Ovis aries: one gene and its partners. The protein of the gene in region 1 interacts with the protein of each later gene in a pairwise test. Links are inferred from orthologs where the notes say so. Each region holds a gene or a part of one and is shown in the gene's direction. Other genes may lie near its edges. The genes, in order: STAU1, NXT1 and LONRF1.

Evidence for each region.
Region 2: the proteins of STAU1 (region 1) and NXT1 interact in binary tests that used the Homo sapiens proteins (3 or more experiments, as listed by UniProt). The two-hybrid records come from large-scale screens. The link is inferred for Ovis aries from reciprocal best matches to the Homo sapiens genes STAU1 and NXT1.
Region 3: the proteins of STAU1 (region 1) and LONRF1 interact in binary tests that used the Homo sapiens proteins (3 or more experiments, as listed by UniProt). The two-hybrid records come from large-scale screens. The link is inferred for Ovis aries from reciprocal best matches to the Homo sapiens genes STAU1 and LONRF1.

Annotation. Positions count from the first base shown.
Region 1 is NC_056066.1:77,267,114-77,277,706, reverse strand, and holds part of STAU1 (double-stranded RNA-binding protein Staufen homolog 1), read left to right. Parts: intron 1-3,839; 5' UTR 3,840-3,923; coding exon 3,924-4,128; intron 4,129-5,776; coding exon 5,777-5,901; intron 5,902-8,925; coding exon 8,926-9,082; intron 9,083-10,593. UniProt on the Homo sapiens protein: Binds double-stranded RNA (regardless of the sequence) and tubulin.
Region 2 is NC_056066.1:41,576,556-41,587,947, forward strand, and holds NXT1 (NTF2-related export protein 1), read left to right. Parts: upstream 1-3,919; 5' UTR 3,920-4,224; intron 4,225-6,171; 5' UTR 6,172-6,210; coding exon 6,211-6,633; 3' UTR 6,634-6,820; downstream 6,821-11,392.
Region 3 is NC_056079.1:23,414,549-23,425,141, forward strand, and holds part of LONRF1 (LON peptidase N-terminal domain and RING finger protein 1), read left to right. Parts: intron 1-3,866; coding exon 3,867-3,985; intron 3,986-5,226; coding exon 5,227-5,349; intron 5,350-8,319; coding exon 8,320-8,469; intron 8,470-9,003; coding exon 9,004-9,244; intron 9,245-9,344; coding exon 9,345-9,441; intron 9,442-10,593.

The DNA of each region.
Region 1 (10,593 bases):
TCCTTCCTTCCTTTAAAAAACACATCTTGTTTGGAAACATCACTTACTACAAAGGGGAATGATGTGTTGATTGCACAAAAGTATGGACACTTTATGTTATGTGTTAATCCTGTTGGAAAATGGATATTAGTAATAGAAATGATGTTTTCCCATAATTGCTGAAGTAGGTGTTTCATACTGCAGCAACTTAGTAGTCTGTTAGTTGAAAGGGATTAGTACAAAGCAGTACTGTAGGTAGTTCTGTAAACTGTTTCTAGAAGGATCTGCCTTTTTGTGTATTGAGTCACTCAGGCTGTGCACTCAGTATGGCCCAGTTTTGGTAGATTCATTGCTGAGTTAGAGATGTGCATTTTGTGCCTGATCACTTTTTAGCACATCATGTGCAATTTTTCAAAATGCTTTTATAATGTGCCCATATTCCCCTTACTGCAACCCATTAAAAAGTACTTGACACTTGTAAAGTGGAAATTGCCAGGTGAGACTGTTTTTTATGAGATTTTTATGTCGCCAGGCCCAAGTTAGGATCTGGGGGGACTTGGAATTAGGAATTTTTAAAAAGAGGTACCCATAACTCTTGTCATCTCACCACTCACAATGTTGTAGTCCTTTGTTTGTATTCCATAAATTTAGGATTTGAGAATAGGATGAAATGGTTTCTTGAGTTGGTATCTCAAGCTCCTCAATTAGGGGAAAAAATCAGGAGATGAATGATTCTCATCTGTGCTGGAGGCAGGAGGCAAGGAAACAGCACACCACAGGCTTCACAGTCAAGTGTTTCCAGCCTCAGGGAAAACTGGAGTCTTTGTGTTTTAAACTTTTCAACCTAATTTTCCTGTGTGTGAAATTCTGTTCTTTTGTAAGAAGACTCTAATAAAGCATTTAAAATCTCTTTTAAGTCCCTAATTTATTTGATGGAAAACAATGCTTAAAGACAAGTATAAAGGAAAATGTAAGTTTTCATTTAAGGATTTAATCTCAGGATGGTATAGTGTTGAGCAAAAGGTTCTTAATTTATGCAGAAATAATATCTCTGAAATTATGTGATTCCCCTGAATGCTTCCATGAACTATATAAATGGCAGTAGTGAAAAGCTTTATTTATAGCTGCCTGACTTTTCTTAGGGGAAGAGCATCTGTTTGGGTAAAATATTAGCATCAGTATTTCAGAGCCTTTTGAGATGAAAAGGGGGTTTTCTTTTCCTGTCTGAGAATATAAGCTCCTTCATACATTAGTAAGATTTTATTCTGTGAATGCACATATATATGCTAGAAATAGCACCCTTGCTCCTCTACCCACTGGATACCAGTAGGTTCTCCCATTTTCCAGATGCGATGGCCAAATGATGTCTCCAGATATTGTCAGGTGTCCTTGGGGAGCAAAATTGCCTCTTTAAAACTACTTCTTTAGATTATATTTTCAGGCTTAAAGATACATAGAAAAGTTAAATTAGTAAATGACTTAAAATGAGTACTGTGCTGTATTTTTATTGGTCATATTACAAACTAAAAAAATTTAAAATATAGAGCCTTATTGGGGTTTAAAATATTTTCCATCTGCAGTTTTGAACTACTTATTTCAACCAGTTGTTTGAAAGATATAACTCCTCCAGGTGTACCTGAGGTTAGCATTTTTGGGGCGGTCTTAATTAATATCCTGTTTGTTTCTTATCTCAACTTCTAGCAAACCTATGAATTTATGCCTGTCACTGGAAATGCTGGCAGTGGGCCTGCCTTAGAGAAGCTAGCCAACAAAGATCCCTTTGGGCCCCACCCTTTCTAAAGTTAGTTCATTCGGTCTCAGACTCTCAAGAGCCACCCAGAGCAGAGTTGGGTTGCTTCCCTGGGTCGGGAAGATCCCCTGGAGAAGGAAATGGCACCCCACTCCATTATTCTTGCTTGGAGAATCCCATGGACAAAGGAGCCTGGTGGGCTGCAGTCCACGGGATCACAAAGAGTCGGACATGACTGAGCGACTTCACTTTCACTTTCTGGGATGCAGATAGACTCTGGAGCAAGCACTGTGCTTTTGGCTTATGTTTGGACCTGTGATCTCTGGTTGGTGTTGTGAAGTTGTGAGTACAACTCTCAGTGGTTTTTTTTTTTTTGCAGGGGAGGGTAGAAAAATGCCCTCAGGACAGAGTTGAGAGAGAGGGAGAGAATGAGTAAGAGCAGGAGGGGAAGATTAAAAGAGAAATATTTATATTTTGGCAGCTGATTGAACAATGAAAGGTCATAGCTGCCTTCTAAAAGGTTTTGGACTTGTTGCTTGACACTGGCAACTTGTCTACTAAGACCACTACCCAGATCTTCAGTGGATCTCCTCTGTTGTTTTGTTCTGATTTCAAAAGTAGATGGGGAACAACTGTAATGTTGGAGAATTTTGTCGTGTAAGGTAATATTTATACCTGTTACTAACCAAAGTCATAGTTTAGCCAGGGTGCTTTTGTTTCTGATTTTTGCCTTGTTGTCAGTTTTGTAGTCCTTTTTGCTCTCTGCAAAGGGCTTCCCTGGTGGCTTCGATGGTAAAGAGTCTGCCTGCAGTGTGGGAGACCAGGATTTGATCCCTGGGTCAGGAAGATCTCCTGGAGAAGGAAACGGCAACCCGCTCCAGTATTCTTGCCTGGAAAATCCCACGCACAGGAGCCTGGCAGTCTCCTGGGGTCATACAGTCCATGGGGTCATAAAGAGTCGGACATGACTTTTTCACTTTGCTCTCCACAAGGGAGGATGTTCCAAGACTTCAAGGAACTTATCTGGTCATTCATCTGTTTGTAGAAGTTTGGCTTTAATTAAAAATCATTTTGAGACTTAAAAAATGAAAGTAACAAATTACTTTATAGTAGAACTTCTAATTTGTTAGTTTGATGGTTTCTGCCTTGCTTGGCTTTTTCTGTTCTTTGTTGCTTAATGGTTATTTTTGAGTAGTTTTGATTTGCTTAAACATTTTCAGCTTTTTGAATGATGGCCATGAAAATGAGCAGAACTGTCCTTATTTTTGACTGGTGAAGAAATTTAAATGTATTTAGAATTAATACCTTTGGAACTTACAAGATACAGTAAAAATCTTCTCTGCTTCCCCCACAAGCCATGCTAGTAAAATCGTCAGCCTGAAATCTGTTCCTCTCTTCTGCATCTTCTCCACTTTTGCTTTTAACAATAAACATACTATAGAATGTTCTTTGCTATGCTGAGGATACATGGCCATGGTTGTGGGTGCAACAGCTCTTGTTTGTAATCTGTAAGTAAAGGGGACTCTCTCAAACAAACCTTACCGGAGAACAAAGAGGCCTTGTGTCATCATTAGGAAAAAGAAATGGCAAGAGTGAGGAATTCTTCCCTTTCTTCAGTCAACTTAAAGGAGAGCTCCAAAGGCGCCATTCTGAGCACATGGCCAAGAAAACGGAAGCAGTGTTTACATTCACCAGTAATGGTGTTACAGACCCAGTTTACTTTCAGTTTCTTATCATTTTGAGCCCAGAAACCTTTACCATATCCCATATTCAGTGGAAAACCTCTTCATGTTTTTAATTTGATTTTTTAATGTAGGCTATAGTTTATAATTCTTAATATTCAACAATAAGTAGTATTATACCTTGCTGATTCTTTTTGTAAAATGAACATGCAGGGTATGTGGGTATTGTAAGTATTTTAAAACACTGTGGGGGAAAAAAAACACTGAGAAATTCATAAAGCTAGTGAATCCTACTGTACATCACAGTTACAGACTAAACGGGCTGTTTTCATACTTGAGTAGGTGACACCAGTTTTTGACTGAATATTGGCAATTACATATCTCTTCTATAATTTATCTTTTTATTTTCTTTCCCTTACAACTTTCAGGTAGAACTTTAGACTTCATAGCACTGAATTAACCTGCACTGAGAGCTGTTTACCTGCAGTTGTTCACTTTTGTTGAAAGTGACCATGTCTCAAGTTCAAGTGCAAGTTCAGAACCCATCTGCTGCTCTCTCAGGGAGCCAAATACTGAACAAGAACCAGTCTCTTCTCTCACAGCCTTTGATGAGTATTCCTTCTACTGCTAGCTCTCTGCCCTCTGAAAATGCAGGTAGACCTATTCAAAACTCTGCTTTACCCTCTGCATCTATTACATCCACCAGTGCAGCTGCAGGTAAGCGTATGATCCAAGTGTCTTCTGTTTCAAATGTTTTCTTAGCCTGTTTTCCGACCTGATAAGTAGATTGCAGATACAGGGAGCTCTTGCACATTTACCTTCAAGAAGCAGGAGGAAGTATACCACCCACACTTCTTTATTTATACCAGATATAAAACACACTTGATGATATACTGGCTTGAAAGAGACCTTTTACAGAGTATTTCAAAATGTAAGGAAGAAAATTAGAAACCAAACTATAAAGCCTACTCTGTTATAAACTGGTAGCTGGCAGAAAAAAAATACCACTTTGGATATTCATTGTTATATGGGAAAATTCTGCTGTTAAAATGATTTCCCAGAACTGATTTGTAGGTGTAAGTACCCTTTTTGGAGGTCTGTAAGATTTATCCCAAGCAAGGGGACAGCCAGATTTTGGGACGCAAAAGAATGTGTTGGCATTTGCTAATTTTCATTTTGACTAAGTAAGTTTAAGTTGCCATCCAGAGGTAGTTGAGAAATCACAGTGAGGGCCAATGAGAAATTGAACCAAGCAGCAGAGATGTTTAAAAAGGAAACCCTCAAATTTGAATATTAGGAAAACAAAAATGAAAAATATCCATGGATTAGAAAAGACTTGCAATCCCTGGGGAAATAACCCTTAAAAACAATATTCTGCTCCCCAGTTCTCCCGATCTCATCCCAAGTTGCAAAGCCAGTTAAAGGGGGTGTCAGCATAGGTGTCTCTGTACTGGAGTCACCTTGTAATAAATGCTTCTCAGCCCTTAGTGCCTGACATCTCCCTTGCATTTCCTCCTCTGTCCTCTCGTTTCCTTTACTTTGTATCTCTCTTCTTAGAGTTTTAACTTGTCCCACTCTCAGCTGCGCAGACTCTTATCATGCTGCTACCTCTAGACTTCCTTGGACCAGCTCACCAGATGGCATTCTTGACTTGTCATAGTCCCCTAGAGGTTCAGTGTTCCCCATATTTGCCATTTGAATACCATCTTAATAGGAAATGGCACGGACTAGTTCAGTCCTCTGGGATTTAATTGCGTTCTCTTCTAATGTGTTCTTATATCCACATTTTGTTGACTTTATAAAACTCCCATCCAAGACCATTTTATTTTACTTACATAATTATTAAAGATAGGTAAAGTCTGAGGATGGCAGCCTCTGGAGATAAGATGAGAAGATACCCCAGGAAGGAGAAGTTAGCTATTTGGAAAAAGACAGTCGTTTGAGAAATGGTATTGGCATATTGCGTTTTGTGAAATAATGAACAGGGTACAGCTGACAACTGTTGTACTAACTAATGTGTGTATGTGTCTCTGCTCAAAAGACCTCCTTGTTATTTCCTTGGTTATAATAGCAGTCCTTCATCCGATTTCAAATCTTGCGTGCTTGCCATGGTTTAGTTATTCCTCTGACTTCTATTCTCTCTCTTTTGAAGACACACCCCTTCCTAGGTAACCTGACTTCAACTGGTTCAGAAAAGATCCCAGCTGTGTCTTCAGATATGTGCCCTCAGTGTGGTTTGCAGTTTTGCATCGCTGTTGCTCTAAATCATTAGATGTGGCGTTTGTTTTCCCTCTCTTCATAGCCCTGGAGAGCCGCCGTCTCTAACACTGCTAGTTGACGTCAACGCTCTCACATTATTTTTCAGTTCCTCCTAACATGGCACACCCTAAAGAGAAAACCCCAATGTGTCTTGTGAATGAGTTAGCCCGTTTCAACAAGATTCAGCCTGAGTATAAACTTTTGCGTGAGCAAGGTCCAGCTCACTGTAAGGTAAATATTGTCCATACTGCTTGTGCATTTATAACCCACTAGGAATGTTTTCTTTCTTTTCATACAGTTGCAAGTGGTGCGGTGATTCAAAACACATTTGAAACTGCTGAGGTTGTTTTAAAGAGATGCAGAAGTACAGATTTTGGGCGAGTCACTTCTTTTTTCCATCCTTGCAGAGTGGGTCAAACGAAAGAGATGCTTCTCTGGGGGATATTTGGCTTTTAAAACTTCAGTTAGCATGTGGTTGTTTAGGATTCTGAAGCAAGACAAGTCCCAAGCACCTGTGAATGGTTTCCTGTGAGTTTTCTGGGCTCTGGGCCTCCTGGCTGCAGCCTCCGTCTGGCTCCTTTCCTTTTCGTTTGCACGTGCATAGATACCTTAGGTCTGGGCAGGGCAGGGAGAGGAGGTGAATGGGAAGTCAGTGTTGCTTCTTGTTCAGAATCAGATAGGGTTTGAATGTGAGAGGCAGAAATCAATCTCCCTGTGAGTACATGGAATTATCTCTGATTTTAGGTACCCTTGTCACTCTCATCTTAGAGGATGAAAGACTGACTGTAATTTGAATTTTTACTATTTGTTTTTCAGGAGTTCAGACTTTTAAGCTTGCTTGATATCTGTGCTAATGTGCTTGGACCCTAAATGTTTGTGTATCTGGCTTTATCTTTTGCAACTACAGTATGAGAGATAAAGAATTAGGCCTATTTGTGATTCTAGCTTTGAAGTAAGATAATATAGTTTTATAAGGAAGAGTTGTTTGTCTCTTTGTGCCTCAGTTTTCCTGACATGCAAACCTCAAACCTTGAATGATACCAGGTTTCTCTTTTTTCTTGGACTAAAAGTAGCATTGACCACAATCACGAACAGGCCCCATAGGGAAGTGCATTTTGGTTAGTTGCTTTGGAGTCAGACAGATCTGGGTTTGAATCTTAGCTTCTTACTAACTTGGTGACCTTGTGTAGGTTACTACTTTTTTTGAAACTCCGTTTCCTCATCTGTAAAATGGAGATAATAGTACTTACCAAATAGGTCTATTGTGAGAATATATGTCAAAGTATGGAGCGCAGTGTCTGGCATGTAGTAAATGCTTGAGAAATGGTAGCTATTACAATTAAGCAATTATACATTTAAGAAAAACAGGAATTTCCCACTCTCATGAAGGTAGTTTTAATATTATTCTAAAGCACAATTATATTTGAAATATTTCTTTACTTTTAGAAGGCAATTAGCCAATTCTCTGATAACTGTTCTGTTTCTTCTACAGGATTTTTTTTTGCAGATCTTAACTTTGGGATTCCCTTTATTAACTGTTTTTGGTATTTTTGGAAATATGTACTATCTCACTTGAACTTTGGTACCTTTTAGGTAATTTGGCTGTGTGTTCAGTCTGTATCTTTTTTTTTTTTTTTTGCCTACAAGTTGTTCAAAGAGAAAAATTTATTCCCTCCTAGATGATTATTAGACTATTTCAAAAGTCAGAGGTCTGGTGTACTTTTAATTCTTTCTGAACCGAGATCTAACCTCACCACTGCCCCTCCGCACAGAAGGCAGCATCGTGGCAGCAGCACCATCGGGACAGTCGTGGAGAAAGGCAAGACTGACCGTGAAATTAACTCTCTTCTGTCTTATAGCGTTTTCCCCCTTCGATGTCTTTTCATGAAAGGATCACAAAAATGACTGAGGGGTTGCACAGCGTTGCAGGCTGCTTCTGCTGTCTGACTTCTTGTGCTAGTCAGGGTTTTGCGTTCATGCTATCAGTGCTTTAATGAGTAACTTTATGAACTGCAGCATAAATACAGGAGACCCCTAATATTTCAAGGGGGGTGAAGGATTCTTTAATTTTTCGCCCTTTAGTGGAAGTTGTGCGCTGAGGGAATCCTGAAGTTAAGACCTACAAGAAAAATCAGCTCTAAAGGCAAGTTGGCCCCATCCCTTGAGGCACCAAATTTAAATGACCTGGACATACTCAAATCACCATTTCTCTTGTGAATTATTTGTAAGTGAAATAAAGTGATAGATTCCATGATAAAGAAAATCAGAAGAATAAAAACTCCAAAGTAGTGAATCTCAACCATTGAAGTGCATCAGAATGACTTTGGGAGCTTATTAAAAATACACAGGCTCAGGCCTCCCCTCATGCTGTTCTTTTCAGTCAAAACTCCTGGCACGTGTATTTCACCAGGCTTCCTGGGTTATTCTTCAGATGTACACAAGTGTTAAAGAATCACTGCGCTGTGGTGGGTCCTAGTGTTTTTTGGATGAATTGTTTGTCCAATTCTGATGGGATTAACATAACCTAACTTTACGAATAGAGCGTGCACACAAGTTCCCTTTATACTTAAAAAGGAAAAAAGAGGCTTGTCATTGTCCACAGTTGTTAAGGGCAAAATTAGCTCTTTTGAATGCCTCCTTAGAATTGAGTTCAGAATGTTGTTAGATCTTTGCTTGCAGTGAATCTCATCTTCTGAAAGGGGGGGCAGTGTCTGAATAGTACAGTCTTAGGAAAGTAAAAGGTAGCATTGTAATAATGACATTCCCAAATTCATTTGAGGTTTTGGCCTAATGAGGTATTTTCAGACAAGAACCAGTGAACAAATTACAACAAATGCTGTCTTCATTTGTATGAGGTACTATTATGTGTCTAAATTAAGCTTGCTAAACTTCTTCCATGAGAAGAAATGGGAAGACAGTTTTTATTTGGATGGCTTCCAGATAATTAGCATTTAATATTTTAATATATAAGAGAACAGTTTTAAATTTCTGTACTTATACCCATCTTTCAAAAGATGTTTTTTCTTTTTTTTTTTCAAAAGATGTTTTTTCATGGAGTGCTATGCAGTACAAGTCGACGATGTATGTATCTTCTCATGTTTCTAGAAACAGTGAAAAGGGGGATGAAGGGATAAATTACAGAGATAATGACCAGGCCTTTTAAACCATGACCGTAAATTATGTTCAAGGTCCAAGTGACATATTTTAGTCAACATCAGGTTTCCTGAATTGAGAGCTCACAATTTTCATTTGTAGGTGTTTACAGTACAGCTAACACTTGGAGATCAGCACTGGGAAGCTGAAGGAACTAGTATTAAAAAAGCCCAACACACAGCTGCTGCCAAAGCTTTGGAAAGAACAAAATTTCCTAAACCTATAGTCCGCCCTTTCCGTAGCGAAGGAAGAAATCCAGGTATTATGCGTGGGCCAAGACAGGTTCCTTTCAAAAGTGTGTCTAGAGATATCCGTTTAGTATGTATATGAATTCTTTCTTAACTGACTTGTTGATTTTGAGAGCACAGAGTCTGCACTACCAGTGGCAAATGCTTATCTTTTCGGAATCTTAGCCTTACTCTAAAGCAGTGGTTCCCAATCTACAGCCCCTTGATGCCTGATGATCTGGAGAGGTGGTCACGGGAGGCGGGGCATGTCACCAAACGATTTCGGAGACTTTCAGAAAAGCTTAATGAAAGGAATTTTTTTTTTTCTTTTGATAAGGGTTGTATAGATTGTGAGAATGTAGGTTTTATTTAAAATCACTTCAACTTTGTGTGGTAATATTGATTATAACCTGTTGATTGTAACCCCGATTATCAGTTTTACGTCTCTTGATTGTTAACAAAAATGAGAAAATAGATATTTATTTCTTAAATTCAGATTAATAGATATCTCTTCAGGCAAGGGTCCCAGTTGGGGAGAATACTGTTAAAGAGGAGTGTCCTGTGAAAGCTTGGGGACCACCGACCTGGCAGCTGTAGGTAGTAGTGGCTGTCTAAGGAGAGTCACCTCTCAAGTGTATGAAGTCACCCTGGCCCTTTGCATGCAGGAACCACCTGGGAAGGCCTCGGCCACGCCTTTCTCTTCCTTTCGCTTTCTCTCTGGGATCTTTGCTTCACATTTATACTCTACTGCAGATAAATTTTATGGGTCAGAGCTGCTCTTACTTAAAACACAACTATTTGAATTGTGGAAAAAATATAGTTCATATATTAGCTAAGAAAGAAAAAAAAAGAGCCTAATTATTCATGTGACCCTCTTGACTTGCAGACTCAAAGGTGGTATTATAAGTTTGATTTATGCACTAGATTAGTGAAACCAGTTATGGTACAGAATCAAGGCATTTTTATTTTCTTCTACCTACATCCTAAAGAAGCATTTTCAAGTGGGTTTTTGTGTGCATTTCAATTGAACTTTGCCATTGCTAGTGTTGTTCTGTGTTTGATATGAAGCTGTTGATTGTAAATGTGATTGTGCACTGATGCTAATCTTTCCAGGTCCAATCTTTCCAGGTTGGTTTTCTTTTTAAATGATTTTTAAAGGTTTATGAATTGGATGAACTTAGAGGGGGAAAAAGAGAAGGATGAATGATGAGTATTTTCTAAAATTGATAATTTTGAGGTAACTTAAGATATACCTGTTCCTGTTGTATATGGAAACAGAACTCATTTTTTCTAACAAGTATTACCACAAATCAAATCCCATTATAAACATTAAGAAAGAAAACATCTAAGTATTTTGTGGGTCCCATCTGACTTCTCCAGATAGAATTCACAGTCTTCTCCTCGGCGATTCTGCACCTCCTTACAGCACACGCAGTGTTGTATCAGAGTTCTTGAAGTGTGTCTTGTGTTCTCTGGACTCCTCTGGGACAAGAATTGTGTTTCTCAAGCTCAGCACAGTGCTTTGCCTCCAGATAGTACTGAA
Region 2 (11,392 bases), about 36 Mb from region 1:
ATTATCTGAGTCGTGAAGATCTTTTTTGTATAGTTCTTCTGTGTATTCTTGCCACTTTTTTTTTTATTATCTTCTGCTTCTGTTAGGTCCATACCATTTCTGTCCTTTCTGTGCCCATCGTTGCATGAAATTTTCCCTTGGTATCTCTAATTTTCTTGAAGAGGTCTCTAGACTTTCCCATTCTATTGTTTTCCTCTATTTCTTTGCATTGATCACTGAGGAAGGCTTTCTTATCTCTCCTTGCTATTCTTTGAAACTCTGCATTCAAATAGGTATATCTTTTCTTTTTTTCTTTGCCTTTCACTTCTCTTCTATTCACAGCTATTTGTAAGGCCTCCTCAGACAACCATTTTGCCTTTTTGCATTTCTTTTCCTTGGGGATGATCTTGATCCCTGCCTCCTGTACAATGTCATCCGTAAGAAAAAGGAAGCTCCAGGCCAGCCTGGTTATGATCCAGCAGCCCAGTGGGCGACACCGAAGCACGTGGAAAGCTTATGGGACAAACATGGGCAGTGCTGCTGGAGGGAGCTGTGCTCAACGGGCCATGTCTGGTCCCCCCAGTGACATTTTCTCATGGGAACGCAGACCCTTCAGATCACATCATCCACCATCACCCCTGGTCCTGGTCGCGGCTCCAGACCCCTGGCCCCATCCATGGCTCCCACCTCCCCTGCTCCCTCAGAGCCCCTGCTGGTCTCACGGGGTGCTCTAGTCCCCAGGACACAGGTTCGGGCTGCAGATGAACAAACTTCCACCTGGGTGCAATTTCAGAGATGAGGAGGGAGCCAATTCGGACTGTGGGTAGCTCCTTGAGGCGGTGTCACTGTGGAAGGCCTGGAGGGGCCCTGTCTTCAGGGTCCCTTTAGCGGCAAGTGGCCCACCAGGTCACACAGTTGTGAGGTGCTATTCCAGAGGCTTTCCTTGGGCCTCAGGACGGGGCTTCAGTGGGCCTCCGAGAGTGCTGCACAATAGACCACATGATCCTCGGTGCATCACAGGGGACCAGCCATTTATTTGTTCAGGAGTCTGCCACCTACCAGGGTAGGGCTTGGCAGGGAGGCACATGTCTGTCCTGAGCCACACCAGCCCCAGAAGCCCGACCAGAACTGGAGGATCCATTCCTAAGGCAGCCCACTCCCAGGACTGCTTCCTCTGTAGTTCTGCTGCTTCCTCTCTGGTGTGTGTTTGTGTAGGTGAATGTGTAGCTGTGTGCACACACACTTCACGCCTGCTCCCCTTCTCCGTCCCTACCTCTCTCTTGCTCACACCTCCCCTCTGGGCCCCTGGCCACAGCTCAGCTCCTAAACTAATGGACTCCTGTTATCCCTGCATTCCTAGGACCCCCAGAAAAGACAGGTCCCAAGTGACCTTCCAGAAATGCAGTCCCGGCTCACTCTGGGCCAGCGGCAGTTCGGATGATTCCTCCAGTGGTGTGGGTGGGGGGCGTGTGGGAGAAGGGGATAGCTAGCCACTCTAGTATTCTTGCCTGAAGAATTCCATGGACAGAGGATCCTAGTGGGCTACAGTCCATCGGGTCGCAAAGAGTAAGACATGACTGAACAACTAACATTATGTTTGTTTATGCTCAATTTTTAATAGTTCCTCTAGTGGGGGGTGGTGGTGAGGGGGTGGGGGTGGCAGTAGCAGGGAGAGAACAGCACATGATGGTGCTGGTCATCCTGTTCCGCAGGCACAACTGCCCACAGCGTCGTGGACCACTAGGAGATCAGCTCCAAGTCACGCAGCCTTATCAAGCAAACACCATCAGATACTGCAGCAGAGAACCATGCCAATAAGGGGAGAAGCTCGGTACCAGGTTTAGAGACCCAAGGATACCAGCCTGTCTTCAGAGATGCCAGCAGCTTAGCACGTCTGACCAGCTGCGTCCTTCCTCCCTGGACAGACTCCATGAGGCAAATAGGCCACTGGCGCCATGGCTGCTCAAGCCAGGATCATCTTCCAGAAGGCACCCATGTGGTTTGGTGACAAATCCCACCAATTTGCTGGTACACTTGTTCCAAGTTTAAAAGCCTTCTTTGTTGGAAGGATCATTGGCAAATAAGGAAGCTGTTGTCAATGCAAAATGTCAAAGCACACCGATGATTCCTGGATGCTTGCTTTGTGCCTGGCCCTGGGCTAAGCACTGACGACACCCTCTTCCAGTCACTCGTGACCCAAGGAAATGAGGGCATTACTGTCCCTCTTCTACACATGAGGCACTGAACCTCAAGAAGGTTAACTTACTTGCAGAATCACTCTGCTAGTGCAGGAAGCCACACTAATTAACTTACAAGTAGGTTTTTTTATAGGCTTCTCTGATAGCTTAGTTGCTGAAGAATTCACCTGCAATGCAGGAGACCCAGATTCGATCCCTGGGTTGGGAAAATCGCCTGGAGAAGGGAATGGCTACCCACTCCAGTATTCTTGCCTGAAGAATTCCATGGACAGAGGAACCTGGTGGGCTACAGTCCATGGGGTTGCAAAGAGTAAGACACGGCTGAACAACTAACACTGTGTTTGTTTATGCCCAATTTTTAGCAGTACTGATAATAAAGGGAATATACTGACTCTTGAAACTAGAAAGGCTAAACTTCAGGGTTGATTTGGTTCCCAACAGTCATCAAAGTCTGCTTTCTCCCCCTCTTTCTTGTCTGCCTCATGGTACAAGGGTGCCCACCTCAGCAGAGCAAGATGGCTGGAGCAGCACCACCGCACATCACATGTCCAGAAGGAAAAAGAGAAATAGCATCTTTTCCAAAATCCCCTGGCAAACTCCTTCTCTAGCTTCAGCGGCCCTAATTAGGCAGCCCACCACCCTAGAATTGCTGCCTTAGAGCCAGCAGTGTGTCTAACTTTCTAAACTCAAGCAGCACCGGAAAGTATAAAACAGGCTTGCTTGGAAGCTTACTAGAATGTTGTGGAGCAATGATTTGAACCCTGTCTGCTCATTCAAACAGTATTTACCGACCCCTTGCTGTGGATCAGGCACAGTTTAGATGGTAGAGACTAATCTGAAAGTTCCGGACCTCCCATCTTCCTGTTGCTGGCTGGGCTGCCTCTCAGGGTTAAATTCTTGTTTTCATCAGAACCTAGGGCTGGTTAAATATCCTCCCGACCAGTGTTTCTAGGACTGAAGAGGCTCTGTGACTCCAGACTGTCACTTAATTTCTGTCTCTCGACCTCCTAGTCTATATCAGGAATAATGATGCCTTCCTGAAGTTATGAGAATGAAATGAAACGGGTTTACATGGGAAACATACGGAAACTTAAAAGCGACATCCAACCCAGTGGGCATGCAGGAGGTCAACTCTCGTTTTCATGCTAGTGATGCTGGGATTCGGAGTTTTGTAGATTAAATTCCCATTTCACTGGATTGGGCTTTGTAAAGACATTGTCTTGTGCATAAGGTTCCAAAGACGCTAGTTCAATTCAAACGTTCTACTCAACCTGCAATTTATTTGTTTATAAACCACATTTTTCATGGCGGGGGTGGTAGCCTATATTGAAGAGCCCATCCACTTTCTAAACTGGCCCTGAACTCTGAGAGCAAGCGTTCCCCTAGGAAAGCAGGCAAAGAACCGCCCTGGCATTGCCAAGGGGAACACACCCAGAACAGGCGGCAGCGTCAGTTAACCCGTGCCAGGAGGTTTCAGCGCAGCCGCGAGACGGCCCCAGAGCCCCCGCCCAACCCCGCCCCAGAGCAGGGGATCTGCGAGGCTTCGTCCAATCAGAGGCCGTACCTAACCTCGGGCCTACGTCTATAGACCAATGAAGACTCGAGCGAGCGGTCTTCTGGGAACTTGCCTTTCCCGGAAGCTGCCCTACCCGTGCCACACTTAGGCGGGGCTAGCCTTACGGTCGGCAGCCCCACTGGCTGAAACGGCTGTCCGTCACGGGGCGGGAAGGGGCCGGGCGCTTGAGTCTGCGCGTTGCTGGCTGGCCGCGCGCGCGGGAACCCGCAGAGGCGCTGGCTGGACCCGGCAGGTCCTGGGAGGTAGTGGTGAGGCGGAGGCGGCTCTTCCCCGGCCCGCCTGGGCAGGCTGCAGAGGACCGCGGAGCCTCGGCTGGCCTGGCCTACGGTCACGGGGGGCTCCGCGTAGCCGCGTGAACGGAGCCGCCCACGCCGACCCGTGCGGTGATTTTCCCCTCACCTGCCCGCCCAACTGAGCCCCTCGCTGACGCGGTCATCTCCCGCACTGAGCAGGGCGGTCACTCCCGTGCAGGTAGGTGCCCCTGCGCAGGTCTGCGCTCCCGGGTCTGGTAGATGACCCCCGCGTACGTAGGAGGTGCCCCCCCCCCCCCGTCAGTGGCCCCGGAGTGGCGAGGATGCCACTTGGTCTCGCCGCGAGTCTGGGGCGGTTGCAGCCCCGCAGAAACGACCGCTCCCTAAGGACCCCCAGGCTGGCAGCTGGTTGAGCCGCGGCGGCCCGAGATGCCGGTGATCGGCGTGGACGCCAGCAGATGGGGGCTCGGCTGGGTGCAGGGGGTGGTGTCCAGCGAGGGCGATGGGCCCGGAGGGGGAGGTTACAAACTGGCCATCCTGGAACCCTGCGCCCCCAGACTGGACCCAGAGAGGCAGGAGCCGGTGAGACAATCGCGCCGTCCGGGCAGGCAGCGTATTCTAGTAGAGGACAGATCAGGGCCGTGTCCACCCTCGACCTAGTCCACACCTGGGTTTTCTTTCCTCGTTGCGAAGTTGTTACCATAACGCCTCATCAGTTTGCGGTGACTATTGAAGGACGGGGTGTATATGAAGCGCTGGGAAGTATAGTTTGGAGTGAGTGTGTGCGCGGCTGGACTTGAGGCCCCACCCCCGCCCCGAGGGGGTGGCAGGACCCGCGTGGGTGCCTGGCCCTCAGCGCTCTTTTCAAGGCTGGAGCTCTCCCCGCCTACCCGCTCCTACCCCTGGCCAGTTCTCTCCTGGAGGCTCTGGCCTCCTCCACCTTCCTCTCCCTGACTCCCTCCTAACCTTGCGTGGGATCTTTTCTCTCTTTCAAAAGCTGATTTTTTTTTTTTTTTAAGTTAAACTCTCCCCATGTCTCATCCCCATAAAGAATCCGCCTGCAGTGCAGGAAATAAGAGAGGCGGCTTCCATCCCTGGGCCAGGACGATCCCCTAGAGAAGGAAATGGCAACCCACTCCAGTATTCTTGCCTGGAGAATCCCATGGACAGAGGAGCCTGGCGGGCTACAGTCCATGCGGTCGCAAAGAGTCAAAGGAACACTACGGAGCATGCATGCACAACGTTGAAATAAAAAAATACTTAAGTTTGTAAATCTAAATGCATCCAATATTTTAGTAATGTTGTCTTCTGTTGGATTTTTGTGTAGTGAAATATTTTAATCAGGCAAAAAAGAATACAACTACAATAGTTATTGTATACCTTGGGGAAAAAAAGCAAATAATTTTTCCTTATGCTTTTGGACTCTTTTTTTTTTTAAGGAAATGTTTCATTTTGGCTACAGCTAAAATTCTTCCTTGCTGTCACCACCCCCTCACCCCACAGAATTTCTTCTGTCTGGCCTGTCCTTTCTTGGCTCACAGGACTCCCCTGTGCTCCCTGGAGCTCTTGAGTCGTCACTCATTCCAGTCAGCTCCAGCCTTGCTCCTCAAATAGAGCCCATAGTGAGAACTGTGGCCACCAGTACTGGTCCTGTCCTGTCCTCAACGACATTTGTTCTCTTGCCCTCTTACGGAACCTGCCTTCTCTTCACCTTCCCAGGCCCAGTAGGTGAGCTCATGATAGATGGATCAGCCTTCGTTGGGCCACTGTTCCTTTCTCCAGAGTGTGGTGTCTGCACCAGACACACGAGGGCAGTCACAGCTGTTCCATGCTTCCAGGAAAAAGCAGCCTCCCACAGTCAGTTGTTAAGAAATTCATTGTTAAAATTCATAGTAATAAGCTGTCATTGCTGGCCGTATGGGTCTCAGGCTTTTTAACTGAGTGTGCGGTGTCCCCTGCTTCCCTTCATCCTGCACTGCAGTCATAGTCATGCACAGGTAGGGATGTTCCTGTCTCCAATGAGCAAACTGGGGCCCAGCCGGACCAGGCGTCGGCAGCAGGGGGCGCCCAGAATTTCGCCTCAGTCGGAGGACTGGTCCTTTGTGGGGCGTGACGGTCATCAGCATTCACACAAGGTCTCTTCCACCTTCCGCCCCCTCGGGTACAGGAGGCACCTGGGCCAAGGCCTCCCTTGGCGAGGCCACTGATGGCGTCCGTGGACTTCAAGACCTATGTGGACCAGGCGTGCCGCGCAGCTGAGGAGTTCGTGAACGTGTACTACAGCACCATGGACAAGCGGCGGCGGCTGCTGTCCCGCCTGTACATGGGCACAGCCACCCTGGTGTGGAACGGCAACGCTGTCTCCGGGCAAGAGTCCCTGAGTGAGTTTTTTGAGATGCTGCCTTCCAGTGAGTTCCAGATCAACGTGGTAGACTGCCAGCCTGTCCATGACGAAGCCACCCCGAGCCAGACCACGGTCCTTGTGGTGATCTGTGGGACAGTGAAGTTTGAGGGCAACAAACAGCGAGACTTCAACCAGAACTTCATCCTGACGGCCCAGGCCTCACCCAGCAACACAGTGTGGAAGATTGCCAGCGACTGCTTCCGGTTCCAGGACTGGGCCTGCTAGTGGGGTGGTGGGACACCCCAAGCCTGAACCCTGGGCTCGCTCAAGTCTGAGGGGCCCCTGTCTGGGCATACACTTGTTTGTCACAGTTGCCTTTTTGAAGTAGTAAAATTCTCTATTTTTCTATTTGCCCAGGAGAGACTCTGGTTCTGGAAATTTTGATGAATAAAATGTTGCTTCTTTTCCCCTTGCTGGATGTGTTTGGGCGATACTGGGGAGAGGGGCCCAGGAGAAGGAGGGTTAAAGCTGCAAGGCCAGCAGAAGGCACTGCAAAGACTGAGATCCAGGGCTGCCGCACACACAGAGGACACCCTTGGGACTCTTCGAAAATCACCAGGCGCACATCCTGGTTGAACTACTGAATCTCAGAGGGTGGGCCTGAGCGTTTTTGGCATTTTACAAAAGCCCCCTAGCTGTCTATTAAAACACTTTAGAGAACCCCCTGACTAGGTGGCTGGACCACACTGGGACTTTGCACCTGTGCTGGGAGTTACATGGATGAAAACAGGTAAGATACCTGGAGTTAGCTAATAACTGCTTGTAAACAAGGAAGCTCCATTGACTACTCCCTTACAAAGAGAACTGCTTTTAAGAGGAAGAAGTACTGAGGTGGGGCTGGGGGGCATCAGAATTAGATGCTGGTTTTACTGACCCTGAGGACCAGCTCACCCCATTTCTCCAAAGTAAAGAAAAAATGAGCCATTTCCATCATCCTTTGATTAATAGATGAGCTCTTGTGGACATGTGCCTTCCCCAGGTAAATCTGTGATCAAAGGTCAGGCTGGGAGGTGTGGGTTAGGATTAGGAATGGGGGACTTGTGTAGGCTGCACAGATGGTAGGGACCTCTAGCCCTGGGCTATGGCATCCACCAGGGATGGCTAGGCAAGGTGGGCATTGCTGCCATGTCAGGAAGGATCTCCCTCCCCTCTGATAGAGGAAAAGGGGCCTGACCTTGGGGACTGGACTGGGAGCTGGCAGGACAGAGGGACAGGGCAGGAGGCTGTATGGTGGCTGTGTACAGAGGGTGGGGGGCAGTGGCAGCCTGTACTAAAGGGCAAGCCCTGGTCAGTGCCCCAGGCTGAGATGCAGGCCTGAACACAGAGCCTGGTGTGTGTGTGGGGGGCTGGTGGGGTCGGTGCAGGGGTGGGGGGTAGTGTCTCAGGTGCCGGATCACTGGGCCTCTGGGAGAAGCCAAGCAGAGAGTGGACAGGGTCCTTAGGGCTCAGAGTTGCTAGGGGAGCAAGAACCTCCCACTGCAGGAGGTCTGTTTTCTAAGTCTAGATCTAAGCAGTCTTGGGCTCCCCAGGTGGCGCTAGTGGTAAGAACCCACCTGCCAATGCAGGAGATGTAAGAAAGGCGATTTGATTCCTGGGTTGGGAAGATTTCCCTGGAGGAGGGCATGACAACCCACTCCAGTATTCTTGCCTGGAGAATCCCATGGAAGAGGAGCCTGGAGGGCTATAACCCGTAGGGTCGCAAAGAGTCAGACAGGACTGAAGCAACTTAGCACACATGAACTAAGCAGTGCTGAGGCCTCAGAAAACCCACTGCAGTGCCCCAAGAAAAAAAAGATCCAGGTTCAGAGATAGCCAGCTCCTCTTACAGAATGCTCCCCTCCAAAGGCTCATGACAAACTCTGATGACGGAGGTTGGTTCAGGAGACTAGAGGTGCACCAACTTGCTGAGGGAGGGTCCAGACACAGAGCCTTCTAATCCTTGAGGCTTTGAGGGGCTTTAGGTGAATGCAGAACTGTCTCATCTACAAGTGAGTGCCACATGTCACCAGGGTGCCCCACTGAAGGACATCAGCTGCTCTCTGACCACTGAGAGTCCACTGAGAGCTAGGTCAGACATCACTTGCTCTGTGGGTCTTCGCTAGTGCAGCTAGCACGCAGGCCTGCACTTCAGTGTAGCAGGGGCTCACAGCCCCTCTGAAGGGGGCTTGAAGAGGTAGACCTGTCTGTGATACAAATATGAAAAATCTTTGAGAGTCTCTGAAGTTCAAATACTTGGTAGAGTATTAACAGTTGTTACAGGCAGGAAGAACAACATCCCAAGAACAGCTCAAGATACTTTGCACTATTTTCAGCCCCGTTTTACAAATGAGAAAACTCGCTTTGTGTTTTAAAAAAAAGATTCCATATAGGCTTGCCCTGTATGCACGGACCACTAGAAGGACTGGCAAAAACGTTAAGTACGGCTGTCCTTAGGATCTGGGTTCTAGAGTTTTAACGCGGAGACAAGGCACTTGATGCCGAATGTCCTTGTAGATATTCATACAGTGTGCGCATCATGTTTTTTTAAATTAAAATCTCATTTAATAATCAAGGCTGTTTTCACAGCAAGAAATAGGGGCATTCAAGTTGCGGACACCTCGAAGAGTGACTTCCCGCCCCAGAGCGTCCCGACCTGAGCCAGACCCTACCAGTGAAGTATCCAAGTAGATACCGCTTTGAAACATCCTGGGTTCTCCGGGAAAAGAAAAAAAGGCGGGGGTGGGGGGGGGCGTGTTTTATTACAGATCACCACCTGGCCCTGTGAGACGTTAAAGTCTGGAAACGCTGCCCAAATTTAAGGCAGGTAAAGACGTGCCTGATCTCATTGATACAGCCCCAGCTGACCCACTACGGCTTGGTCTGGCCCACTTGAACCAGATCGTACAGCCGGACAGCGCTAGAAAACCCCTGCCCGGCCCCAGGGCCGGGCCCCCACCCTGAACCCAAACCGCGAGGCCACGAGCCCCAGGCACGGACGCTCGATCCGCCTCCGCCCATTCAAGTCCCACTAAGCCGCGCATCCCGGCGCACGCAGGGAGGCCAACAGCATCCCGGGCGACGTCAGAGGACCCAATGGAAACCGAGGCTCCAGCCCCGCCCTTCGTCAGCGCCCGGTGGGCGGAGCGGGCGGCCTCCGGTGGGCGGGGCGGGCAGCTCCGGCTACCCTCCCTGGGCAGGTTAGAATTTGATGTGGGGAGTTGCTTACGGTCTGGTTCCAAAGATTCGCTTTTAAATCAGATCATTTCCTGGGTACAACAGCATACCTCCTTTATTCATTTCAGTATAGTGAAGGTTTCCGCAAACATCTTTCCAATGATGATTTGATAAACATATACATTATGGAATTATTACGACGAGTTCCATTAAACACTTTTTAAAACGTTGTTTTAATGACTGCATAATAAACCAATGCATGGGTATATTCAGTTGTCTCCTTTTGGGCAAGTAGGTTGTTTCCAAATTTTCACTAACATAATAATTACCTGAAAGTTGTTCACTCCACTTCCTCAGAATGACTACAGGGGGTTACATGGAGATAAATATCTATTCCCCTGAGACTGCATTTCCCATGCAAACATTTGCTGCATCACAGATTGTGTTTAACTTCGGGTTAAACTTTGTCCTATTCATTATCATTGCTTTTTATAGTGATGTCTCTGCCATGCGTACATGTATGTGAGTTGTCCATTTGTATTCTTTGTTTTGTATTAGGCTGTTGGTGTTTCTTCATTTTCTAAAGCTTCTTTGAATAGCCTGCTGTAATTTCTACCTTGGAACCTGATCAGGTAGCATTTCTAAAGGAAACTGAATATAAAACTTATAATAATCACATCCAGTTTCTTCACTTTAATCATTAAAGCTATTATGACCCTGAATAAAGAAGTCCTTTCAGCACTGAACACTAACCAACTTGGGTAGAACACAGAATTTTGGCTGCTTTTTCCACATATCCTGGTTCTGTGTCTGCTTGGACTTTTAACAATTCTAAATACTTAATATGCTCTTTTAAACACTTAGGCTCTTTGTTAATGACAAAGTAAGATTGCAGTGGTGTTACATTTTATATGAAATTGTCCTATAAAAAGTGGTGCGCCGTCTATTTGACATCTTGTGTTGAAGCAAAGTTGATTTCAAAATGTGCGTGGCCAAATTAAATTTATCCAAATGTGGTGCTCATGATAAGAGGATATATGTATTTTTAAAACATACATGGCTTAATGGAATCTGAACTCTTTCCACAAATAAGGTGCTATTTGTTCATATGTTTCCTATCTCCTATCATTAGCATATACACTTTTCTTGAAAACATTTTATTTGGGCACACATCTTGAAGACTGAGGACTGTTTTTTGAAACTATTGAGAGTTTTGATAAACAGAACATCATGCTGAATACACTGTATGTGTAAAAATCCCTTGCTTAAAGTTGTTTTCATCCATCAATGAACATGTGAAGTTGGAATCCCCATGCACTGCTGGTGGGAATGGAAAATGGTGTGGTTGTCATGGAAAGTAAGTTGGGGGTTCCTCAAAAAGTTAAACACAGAATTACCATATGGTCTAGCAATTCTACTTCTAGATACATACCCCAAAGAAATGAAAGCACGGACTCAGATTCTCGTACACCAGTATTCATAGCAGTCACTGGCAGACCGATACCAGGAGAGCACAGAGGTGAGAGATGGTAGGGATGTGGCCAGGTAGTAGGGCTGGAATGCTGGACTTTAATAGGAAGCCCCCCCCCCTTATGTCCCCCCAGCACCTTAGAAACCACACTTCTCAGTATTCACTTTTGGATTCACACAAAACAAGACATGGAACATCTAGGATGCTACTGATACTTAATCATACCCTCCCTAGTTCCCATTTGATGTTTACCTGATCTGACAGGAGACAGCTCTGTTCTGTAGTGGCGGAGGCGTGTGGCCAGCACAGAGCTAAGTTATGGAGGTTCAATCCTAGCTGTCTTGTTCTCCCTGTGTGATC
Region 3 (10,593 bases), on another chromosome or scaffold:
ATGGATTTTTTCCTTCTCTTGTGTTTCCCGCCTAGAGAAATTCCTTTAACATTTGTTGTACAGTTGGTTTGGTGGGGCTGAATTCTCTTAGCTTTTGCTTGTCTATGAATCTTTACATTTAGGTCTTTAAACCATTTTGAGCTTATTTTTATGTGTGGTGTTCTAATTTCATTTTTAACCTGCAGCTGTCCAGTTTTCCCAGCACTGTTTATTAAAGAGACTGTCTTTTCTCCACTGTATAGTCTTGCGTCCTTTGTTGACCATAGGTGGAAAAAAACTCAGATTTTATAGCTGAGGAAACTGAGGTACAGAGGTAATTTGCCCCAGTTCACAGTGAGTGAGTGGAGGAGCAGAAGTTGCAGCCAGGCTGTCTGGCTTCCAGGCTCTGAATCCTTCTGGAATGCCAAGTGGCAGTAGATGCAAACGAAAGCGTCTTGGAGAAGAGGTTGGTGAGCTGAGTCTTACTGGATCAGAAAAAGTTGTCCAGACAGAGGGGAGTTGCGTAGGGGGAGTCTCACAAGGAGGAAGCTCTGTGAAAAGGAAGGAGGCATGAGGTAGAAAAAGGCGTGCATGGGGCTGAGTAGCTAGGTCCTCTTGGGACTCACCGGGAGGCTCATATTGATGGGAAATAAGGCTGGAGAGATGGGCAGGACCCAGGCACGCAGGAACTTGGATGTTGTGCTAAATAACTATATCTGTGGATGGTGAGGTACGTATAGATAAAACTGGAGGCAGGGTGTGCAGTTAGCAAGCTGTTACAATAGTCTTAGCTTAATTTTGGCTTTCAAAACGTTGTTATTAGCAATTGGATTGGAAAAGACCCGGGATGGATTGGGGAAATACTAGAGGAGGTAAAACTGACTGTGGTAAAGGTTAGATTTGGACAGTCAGTGTTACTTACAGTGCAGCACACATATCCTTTTGGGGGTGCTGAGGTGTGGGAAGTGTACTGAGCCTGAGGAAAAGCACAGCTGGCTGTTGGAAATCTGATGCAGCTGGAGGTAGGGTGAAAAAAAAGAAGAGGTAGGAATTAAATCCTGCCCAGTACACTCGGCCCTGGCACATCCTTATATTTCCGAGTCTGTGATGCGCCAGGCACTGCATACCTGCAGCCGTGGATTGAGGGGCAGGCCCTCCCCGGTGGCTCGTGCAGAGGGGTGATCAGTTCATCCCAGGGTCCGCGGGACCTCGCCCGGAGCAGATCATAAATATCTGTTGCCTGTTAAACACTTGAGTTAATGACACAGCCTGGCTGATGGCATTTTTTTTGCAGTTGCCTTTCCCACAAGTGGACACAGAGGGCAGATGTTCTGTATCCATATACTATTCAGAGGGCTTCAATCATGCATTGGTGGTTTTTTTGTTTTTTTTTGTTTTTTTTTTTTTTTAAATTAGGAAGGGCTTGAAGGAAACAAGTGGGGTGGCCCTAATCTCTTTAATAATGTTCTGGGAGTTTGAACTCAACTGATGAGGCTCCCCCCTCCCCAACAGTCAGTCAAAATCACTGTTCCATTGGTATGTGAAATGCTCAGTAAGAACAGAACCTACAAGGATTTGGGGAACAAGAGTTTTAAGATTTGACCCTCCTGTCATCTCCATCGCAGGTCTACCACGCTTCTCATCCCAGTAGACACCAGCTTTCCAGGGAGCCTGGGTAGCTTGAGCTCCTTGTTTGCATCCTCGGAGGGGAGGAGCATGGTGGACTGACCTGGCGCTGTAAAGATGGAGGTCTCCCCAGCCCCTTCCTGCTGCACTGCCCTGGGGAAGCTTGGCGCTTTAGCGCCAAGCGGTAAAGACCTTGATCAGAGCGTAGGGTACTCACGAGGTCCCCGTGGGCACTACCTCCAGGGTTGTGTGGGGGGACCTGCTGTAAAAGGAAACACGTGAGAAGAAAAGCAATCCAGTAAGGGATCCGAGTGTGGAGGGGGCTGCTGGTTGTGACTGAAGCCCCTCTCTCTGGAGGTGCCGGAGCACAGGCGGGTCCTAGGGGTGCTCTTGGCAGGACCCTAGCTGTGCCCGACATGGTCCCCATCGTCTCCAGCTCAGGGAGCTGGACGCTGCTGTGGTGACCACTCCTTGGACCGGCTGGGCACCTGCTGCTCCCTGGTTCCCGGACTCCAGTTGTGCTTGTCTGGTCAGGACCACGTGATGCCATTTCACAAGAAAATGGGATTTCCTAATGTGACTGTAAGCTCCTCAGAGAAAAGGAGAAAGTAACATCTTTGAAACCCCTCCAGCATCTATCTATCTTGGTGCTGAGACTCCTCATTCTTGATTGATTAATCACATGGAGCTTTCAGTTTCTATGAGTTTTTGTTCAGATAATGATTTACAATTATATTGCTTTAAGAAACGAAAGATGAAATGTTCCAGACGTGTCTTTTTCTGCTTAGGAAGTAAGAACTATTTTCATGAAATACTAATTTTATTCTTAAAATTTTTTCATTGGTATAAATTTGAGGTAACAGTTTGAGTTCTCAAGTACCAACAACTAGAAAAGGCTTGTCTGATTAATTGTTAAATCAAGAGTTATCTGTAAAAAAGCAATCATTTAAAAACTAGAGTAAAGGAAGCTATTAAGGAGTTTTATTATAGTTTTTGTTTTGTTTGCCCAGGACGGTGGGTGGTAAGGTCTTTATGCCCTTCCCACAACGAATGCTGTATTTTATAAGCATACATTTTGGAAGCCTTTAAAGATGAATAATAGCTTTAAAAAGAAGAGTCAAGTTAATGTCATCTGTAGATAATTGAAAATTGATTTCTGGCTTACACTTCAGTTTCAGAATCCATGTACCTGTAGTAATTTTTTTTTTTACCTTTTTTTATTGGAATATAATTGCTTTACAGTGTTGTGTTTCTGCTATACACTGAAGTGAAGCAGCTATAAGTATACAAAATCCTTTCCTTCTTGGGTCTGCCTCCAGCCCTCAGGTCATTAAAGGGCACTGAGCTGAGTTCCCTGCGCCGCTCCGCAGGTTCCCACACGCAGTTTCACGCATGGCAGTGTATCTATGTCCATCCTGACCTCTCAGTTTGTCCCACCCTCCCTGTCTCTCCTCTGGCGCCCATGTGTCCATCCTCTGCATCTGAGTCTGTAGGAAATAGGCTCATCTGTAGCATCTTCCTAGATCCCACGTGACCTGTAGGAATTGATTGTAGTACCATCAGTGAACCAGCTAAGCGTCTGAAGTTTTAGTGCCTTTGGATACGAGTTCGGTTTCTCAAGTAGAGACAGAGAGCATAGTGAAATTATCACCTAAAGCTTTTTACCCTCAAATATTTGAAAGTAAGTCATTCTGGGGCCATCCAATCCTGTTCTTATTAATGGCAGGAATTTAAAAAATTTTCCCTCTTAAGAAACCTGACTCTTGTCAACCCATTTCCTCCAGAAACAGGACCACCGTGTCCTCTCATAAGATCGTGCCTCGGTCAGTCTTTGTAACTATGGGAATTCTGTGTGCAGTAGTTAACACATGTAGTCATTTATAAAGATTTCAAAATCAGATATAAAAAAAGGTTTACCACAAAAAGACAAATCTTCTAAACATCTGAGATACATCTTCTAAATCTTTGCCTATGTTAGGAAAACATTCAGTTTCTTAGGGGTGATCATATTATCAAAATATTTTCAGTTTTTTAAAAAAAAATCAGTTTCCTCCACTAAAATAATCTAACCATAAGGATTTGCTGTAAGTTAGAGAAATGTCAGTATGCCAGTGGGTTGCACCTGTACTGTGCTTGGCTCACTGCCTTTGCGTCAGTGGTTATTGACTAGAATCGCTGAGTCAGTTCTTACTTTAGTATGTTTCTGTGGATTATACAGTAATCTTTTAAAAATAATCAAGCCTTCATAACATTGATTTCAGAGCCCAGCGACTTGACTCTGAAAATCTACAGAGCTGAATCGTATGCTGGCCTCCAGGAGTTTAAAGCAGCCATAGAAGATTTAAATGCAGTTCTCTTTCAGCTGCCAAATTGGCCTGAGGTAAAATTACTGTTTTACATTTGCATGCATTTAAGAAGTTCAACTGTAGGGAATATGCATTTCAATTATGATTGTAAGTCACAACGAAATGGATTGGGCGATTTCTTTTAAATATATGGAATAGTTCTAGAAGTCTGAGGTCAATATTTTGAGTGGATGAATATCATCTGACAGTTTTTTAGACTATAAGAAACATTTGTTTCTTAACTAGAGAACAACTTGACTTCGTGGCACAGGACAAAAAAAAAAAAGAATTTAATATACAGCATTTCCTCAAAGATGTACTATTGTGGAGATGGACCCAAAGAAGTTATCAGTGGAGGAGGTTTATTAAAGGAGAGAGAAGAGCTTCTGTGGCTGAACAGCTGACTGAGGCATTGTGACGGGAACTGGGTGATGAGGCAGTCGTTCAGTACGGTAGATGGGGGCCTTGCCCATGGTCTTTTGAAAAAAGATTTGCAGCATGTATGTATTATATAATCGGTTTACGAATTCTCCATTTTACCAATACTGTCAAGGCAAATCAATCCATCTCCCATGTATGTTATTTAAGTTAAAAATCATCTTTTAATGTGACTTTTTTTTCTGCATTCAAAGCTATGCCTTTGAGGACTGTATAGTAAGGATGCTCTAAAATTTATAAATTAATAAAGAAAATGATTCAGAATCTCATGATGACATGATCAGTTGGTACAAGTCAAATCAGTGTTAAGAATACGAGGGAAAATGATTTGTACAGACAGCTTTGGTGGCAGCAGTGGTTTAGTCGCTAAGTCATGTCTGACTCTTGCGAGACCCCATGGGCTGTAGCCCACCAGGCTCCTCTGTCCGTGCGATTCTCCAGGCAAGAATACTGGAGTGGGTTGCCATGCACTTCTACAGGGGATCTTCCCAACCCGAGGATCGAACCCAGGTCTCCTGCGTTGCAGAACTCTTTTGCCAACTGAGCCACCAGGGAAGCTCTTAAAACCATTAAACAGGAAAGAATCCTCTGGACTTACCATTGGTGGGATATAATTAGAAATGTGGCTTTGGAGTCATTTTCTGGACCTCATAATCATAGGTGCCTATCCCGGGTAGGATGTAAATGTGCCTGTAAAATGCTTTGGGCTCCTGAGAGTCATTCAGAGTTTCAAAATGAACATTTCCAAGCAGAACTTTTATTTTTAACCTTACGTGATATTGATGTTTCAAAAAACAATTCCATCCATAAAAGTTGGGTATGTGTGCTTTTATTGAAGGTGTACTTCAGGAAAGGAAAAGTCCTCCACGATGCTGGTTTTTTAGGTGATGCCTTACAACTGTTTCTTCAGTGCTTAGCGCTCGATGAAGATTTCGCACCTGCAAAGCTAGAAGTAGAAAAGGTAATCCGTTTAACAACTCTTAACACTTCCAGCCAGTTTCCCGACAACACAGGTCTTTTTGCAAACGCCCGCTAGACTTTTGGGGTAAGGACATAAGGGGTGTCCATAAGTCAGATTTAGTAGCAGTTTGATGAGGGGTTTTCAGGTTCAGTATGCTTATTAGCATATTGAGTTCTTACCCAAATCAGAACATTTCAGAGAGAGTTAAATGCATTACTTTCGCCTAGTTAAATTTAGATGTTCTCTAATAGTCTGTTCCATGGGAGCCAGACCAGTCATTCCTAATTAAACATTGTTGTCATGATGTTCCTGCTCAGGAATTTTTATTGGCTTCCTTTGCCTTTCATTTCAGGTCTCAACTTTGCTTGCTTTCCGTGGTTGCCAATAGTACTGCCCCACTCAATTTATTTTGCCTTAATTTTCTCAGTACTCCATACATCACTTTCCAGAGTTTGTTCAGTGGTAGGTGTTAATTAAAAGGAAAAGGGGTTCTCTGATCAAATGACTCTGGGAAACACTGGGTTAAACCAATCAAACAGATTTCTTCAGCCCCTCTCAAGAGTTTTTGCTTTGCTAGCATGACAACAGCATTCAGCTTTTGCCAGATTTACTCACAGAACATCTGGGAAGACTAGAGTCTCTGAAAAATGTTCTGGGAAAATCTATCCTAATAAAATTTCAGTGCCCAGTCATGTTGTTTCCTTCAGTGTCCCCCAAAGAGGCCACAGCGTTAATTGCGTTTTTAGTGTTGCTCAGAACATGGCTTTTTGTCAGAGTCATCTCGGGTGCATGGTAAACACAAAGATTTCCTGGGTCCCACCACAGACCTTTGGAATTAGAATCTCTGGAATTAGAGTATAATTTAACAAGCACCTCAGGAGATTCTTATGTACCTTAAAGTAAGAGAACTTTGGGATTTTTCTTGCATTCCAAATGCTTTATGAATAAGCCAACATCCTCCATGAAGTTTGTTTGCATACATGTTCCAGCCACTGATTTAACAAAAGATGGTTTACTGTTGTGTGTATTCTTAACTGTGCTCTCTTTGCTAAAGTGATCTCCCTGGTGAGACTGCAGACTTTATAAGGGCTTATAGTTTTGCATTTTCCATGCTGCTGGGTATCCTTACTTTCCTGTAATTATTTGTTGGTTAATAAGGTCAAGTGAATGCAAAATACCCACAGCCTTGAAATATTATTTCTTTTTGGGGGGTAAATGGTGGTATAATTTACATATAATAAAAGGCATTTTATAGTTCAGTGAGTTTTGAGAAATTGTACACGTGGAACAACACCCCAGTCAAGATACAGACTCTTTCAGATCACCCTGGAAAGCTCCCTCGTCTCCTCTGCAGCAGATCTCCTCTTTCTGTGCTTCCAGAGGGAGCTACTGCTCAGACCTCTAGTGCCACAGACTAGTTCTGCCTGTTCTGGACCTTCACATACACTGTATATACTCTTTTTTCGCTCAACGTGTTTTTGAGACACATCTAGCAACTTTTTTTCTTTTTTATTGTTCACCAAGTATCCTGTGGTATGAACATATCACAGTTTGTGATAAATACAGTTAGTGGTGATTTTCATTTGGATTGTTTCTAATTGTTGCCACGAACAATCTTTTACAAGTCATTTTGTGGACATACGTTTTTATCTCTCTTCAGTAAATACCTAGGAGTCAAGTAACTGTCTTCTAGGGTGAGGGTATGTTTAATACCTTTTTTTTTTTAATCGGGGAAATATAAAAACATATCCAAATTCTTTAGTGATTATTCATTAAATGGTTTATTGCTTGAGCACCTACAGGGACACACACTTCCATTAATACCATGTATATTTCCTTTTTATTTACATTATAAAGATTTGTGGAAAATTCTGACTTTTGTGCCTTGACAGATAGAACAGCTGAAAAACCAAACTTCCAAATTGAGACTTTAAGAAATGTGTATATGCTGTACATATACACACAGCTTATTTGACAAGCAAACAAATTTGAATCCCTCTCATTTCCTTGTAGCCAGTCTGTTCCTCTGTTGTCATCCCCTTGTTGGAGAGTTTGAGGTATTTCTGAGAGAAGCACCCAGAGTTTAGATACTGTAGCTGCCTCCGTTTGGGCCGGCTGCCATGGGGTGCCCTCGATAATGCCGGGGGTGGTGACTGACCACACAGGTCACTGGTTCAGGGAGAAGCTAGATTCACTGTAAACACATGGAATTTTAGTTCTGTAGTTAAAGGTCCAAGTTCACATAAACAGTCTAAGTTCAGCCTTAGAATATACATTGGGATGAACCATTAACTATATTGACAGGATGGGACTTGCTGATGGTCAGAGGTAAATATTTCCCACTTCTCTTTAAGATCTCTTCTTTCTACAAACCTTATATATATACCTGGGCACCTTCTCACACCACTAGTCTAATCACCCCTGAGCCCTCCTTTTGAACCATTTCTTTGATGTGGTTTGACCCCCTTGGAGGCACACCTTGGTTTTGGCAGGACTTTTAAAATCAACATGGAAGTCCTTGTTTTTTTTTGCTTAACCTGTTCCCTCCCTGCCCGTTAAAAATAATATTAGCTCTAAGTTTTCTTTTTTGTAGTCGATGTATAGCTGACTTACAATATTATTTTTAAGTGTACAACAGTGATTGGATATTTTTATAGTTTATACTCCATATGAAATTTTCCAGAAATTCTTAAATATTGAATGAGTGAGGTGAGTGAGAGTCGCTTAGTCTTGTCCGACTCTTGCAACCCCATGGACTATACAGTCCATGGAATTCTCTAGGCCAGAGTATTGGGTTGGGTAGCCTTTCCCTTCTCCAGGGGATCTTCCCAACCCAGGGATTCCCACATTGCAGACAGATTCTTTACCAGCTGAGCCACAAGAGAAGCCCTCTTAAATATTAAGTAACTAAATTATCCTTAATAAAATATTTTATATTTTTCATTATTCTTTATGATACCTTCCTTACAGATTTTATGTGATTTATTGTCACCTGAAAACTTAAAAGAAGGCCTGAAGGACTCTTCCTGGAATTCATTACCATGTATTAAAAACAAACCTTTCAGTTTTCCTTCAGTGATGGAAGAGTCTCACTCTGCCAGTGAGCTGAGCCCAGAGCAGGTAAGGGGTGAGAAGAGACGGTCATAGGCTTAGTGTATCCATTTTCTTGACAAGATCTTCGCTTTCCTAGTTTCAAATATTAATACTAAAATCTGTGTAGGTACTAACTTAGTAAGGCTTATCTTAATAGGATTCCATCTGTGACCTTTTATTTTACACTAAAAACTTTCATGTGACATACCTACTCATTAGTCACAATGTTACATCACCTGAATGTCAGAAACGTTTGTCTCTTGGAAAAAAACAGAACATTGTATTTATCTTAATTTCCTTGTAGTAGAAACAACTATATTAGCATAACTACTTAAACCTCATTATGATAGAAGTCAGCTTGATGTCCAGGTCTCTCTAAGTACTGACAAAAATCCTTTACTTGCCAGGGTTTTAGCATTAAAAGTTGGTTTTGTTTTAAATGAACAATAAAATAAACCTTTCAAGACATCACAGTTTCATTTCAGTTTGGTTCTTGGCGAGAGCAATAAGGGCAGTAAAAACATACAGTCAGTTACCCTTATTTGTTGCATTTTTTTGTAGAATGAAGAAATAGCAGAGGTCACCTCAGAGCCTGTCAAAGGAAGCCTAAACCGTGCTCGGTCAGCACAGGCTATAAATTCAACAGACATGCCTGCCAGAGAGGACTGTTTAAAAAGAGTGTCCTCGGAACCCTCACTTTGCATTCAAGAGAAAGGTGTTCTGCTGAAAAGAAAGTTGTCTCTTTTAGACCAGGATGTGATTGTAAATGAAGATGGAAGAAATAAGCTGAAAAGACAGGGAGGTAAAAATTTCACTACACTCACAGAAAACACATTGTTTTATTCAGAATGGCTTCCAAATTTTTTCCTAAAAAATATAACCCCATCTCTTTGTTTTAATAGAAATTCCCACTGAAGTCTGTACGTTTTCATTAACTTATGGTGATGTCCCAGAAGAATTAATAGATGTCTCAGATTTTGAGTGTTCTCTCTGTATGAGGTAAGTTTGTCAAATTTTATGAGATGAATATTTTATATTAATGTAAATAAATAAGTACAGAGTAGATAAAGGTAATCTACTCTGTAAGAACTGGACTTTCTTGGACTGCAAGGAGATCAAACCAGTCTAACCTAAAGGAAATCAGTCCTGAATATTCACTGGAAGGACTGATGCGGAAGCTGAAACTCCAATACTTTGGCCACCTGACACGAAGAACTGACTGCTTGGAAAAGACTCTGATGCTGGGAGGGATTGGGGGCAGGAGGAGAAGGGGACGACTGAGGATGAGATGGCTGGATGGCATCACCGACTCGATGGACATGAGTTTGAGTGAACTCTGGGAGTTGGTGATGGACAGGGAAGCCTGGTGTGCTGCAGTCCATGGGGTTGCAAAGAGTCGGACACGACTGAGTGACTGAACTGAACTCTAAGAATAAGCAATGTGAAGTAACAGAGTAGTGAATTAAAAACCAAAAGATAAGAATTTTAGTCCTTGGTTTTCCTTTCACATCATGGGCAAATAATATAATCTCTGACCCTTATTTAGCTTTTCCTTACTTAGAAGGGGCTTCCCTGGTGGGCCCATTCCCTTTCTTTACCATGACTGAGCAGCTAACTTTGACTTTTCACTTGGAAGGTGGTGTCAGGATTTGTGTGTGTGTGCGCGTGCACAAGTGCTCAGCCTCTCTGTCGTGTCTGACTCTGCGACCCTGTGGGCTGTAGCCCACCAGGTTCCTCTGGCCATGGAGTTCTCCAGGCGAGAATACTGCAGGGGGCTTCCATTTCCTTCTACAGGGCATCTTCCCAACCCAGGGATTGAACCCGCATCTCTCACGTCTCCTGCACTGGCAGGCAGATTCTTTACCACCATGCTATATTTAAGTCTTAAAAGAATCAAATGACTAAAATATAGAAAGTATCTGAGGAATGGTACTGTAAAAGCTATACATGTTATTACTGAGACTCCATGGTTTTAGATTTGGGAAAGAATACAGTGATGTATTGTGTGTATGTGATTGTCTTGTTTATGTATCTTAACTCCAAAATTCTTTCTAAGTGACACTGGATAAGGATTTCCATTATGTGAATGCTTGTAATTCTAAGACTGATAATTTGGAAAGAACATTTTCCATTTATAAAAATTGTGGTGGA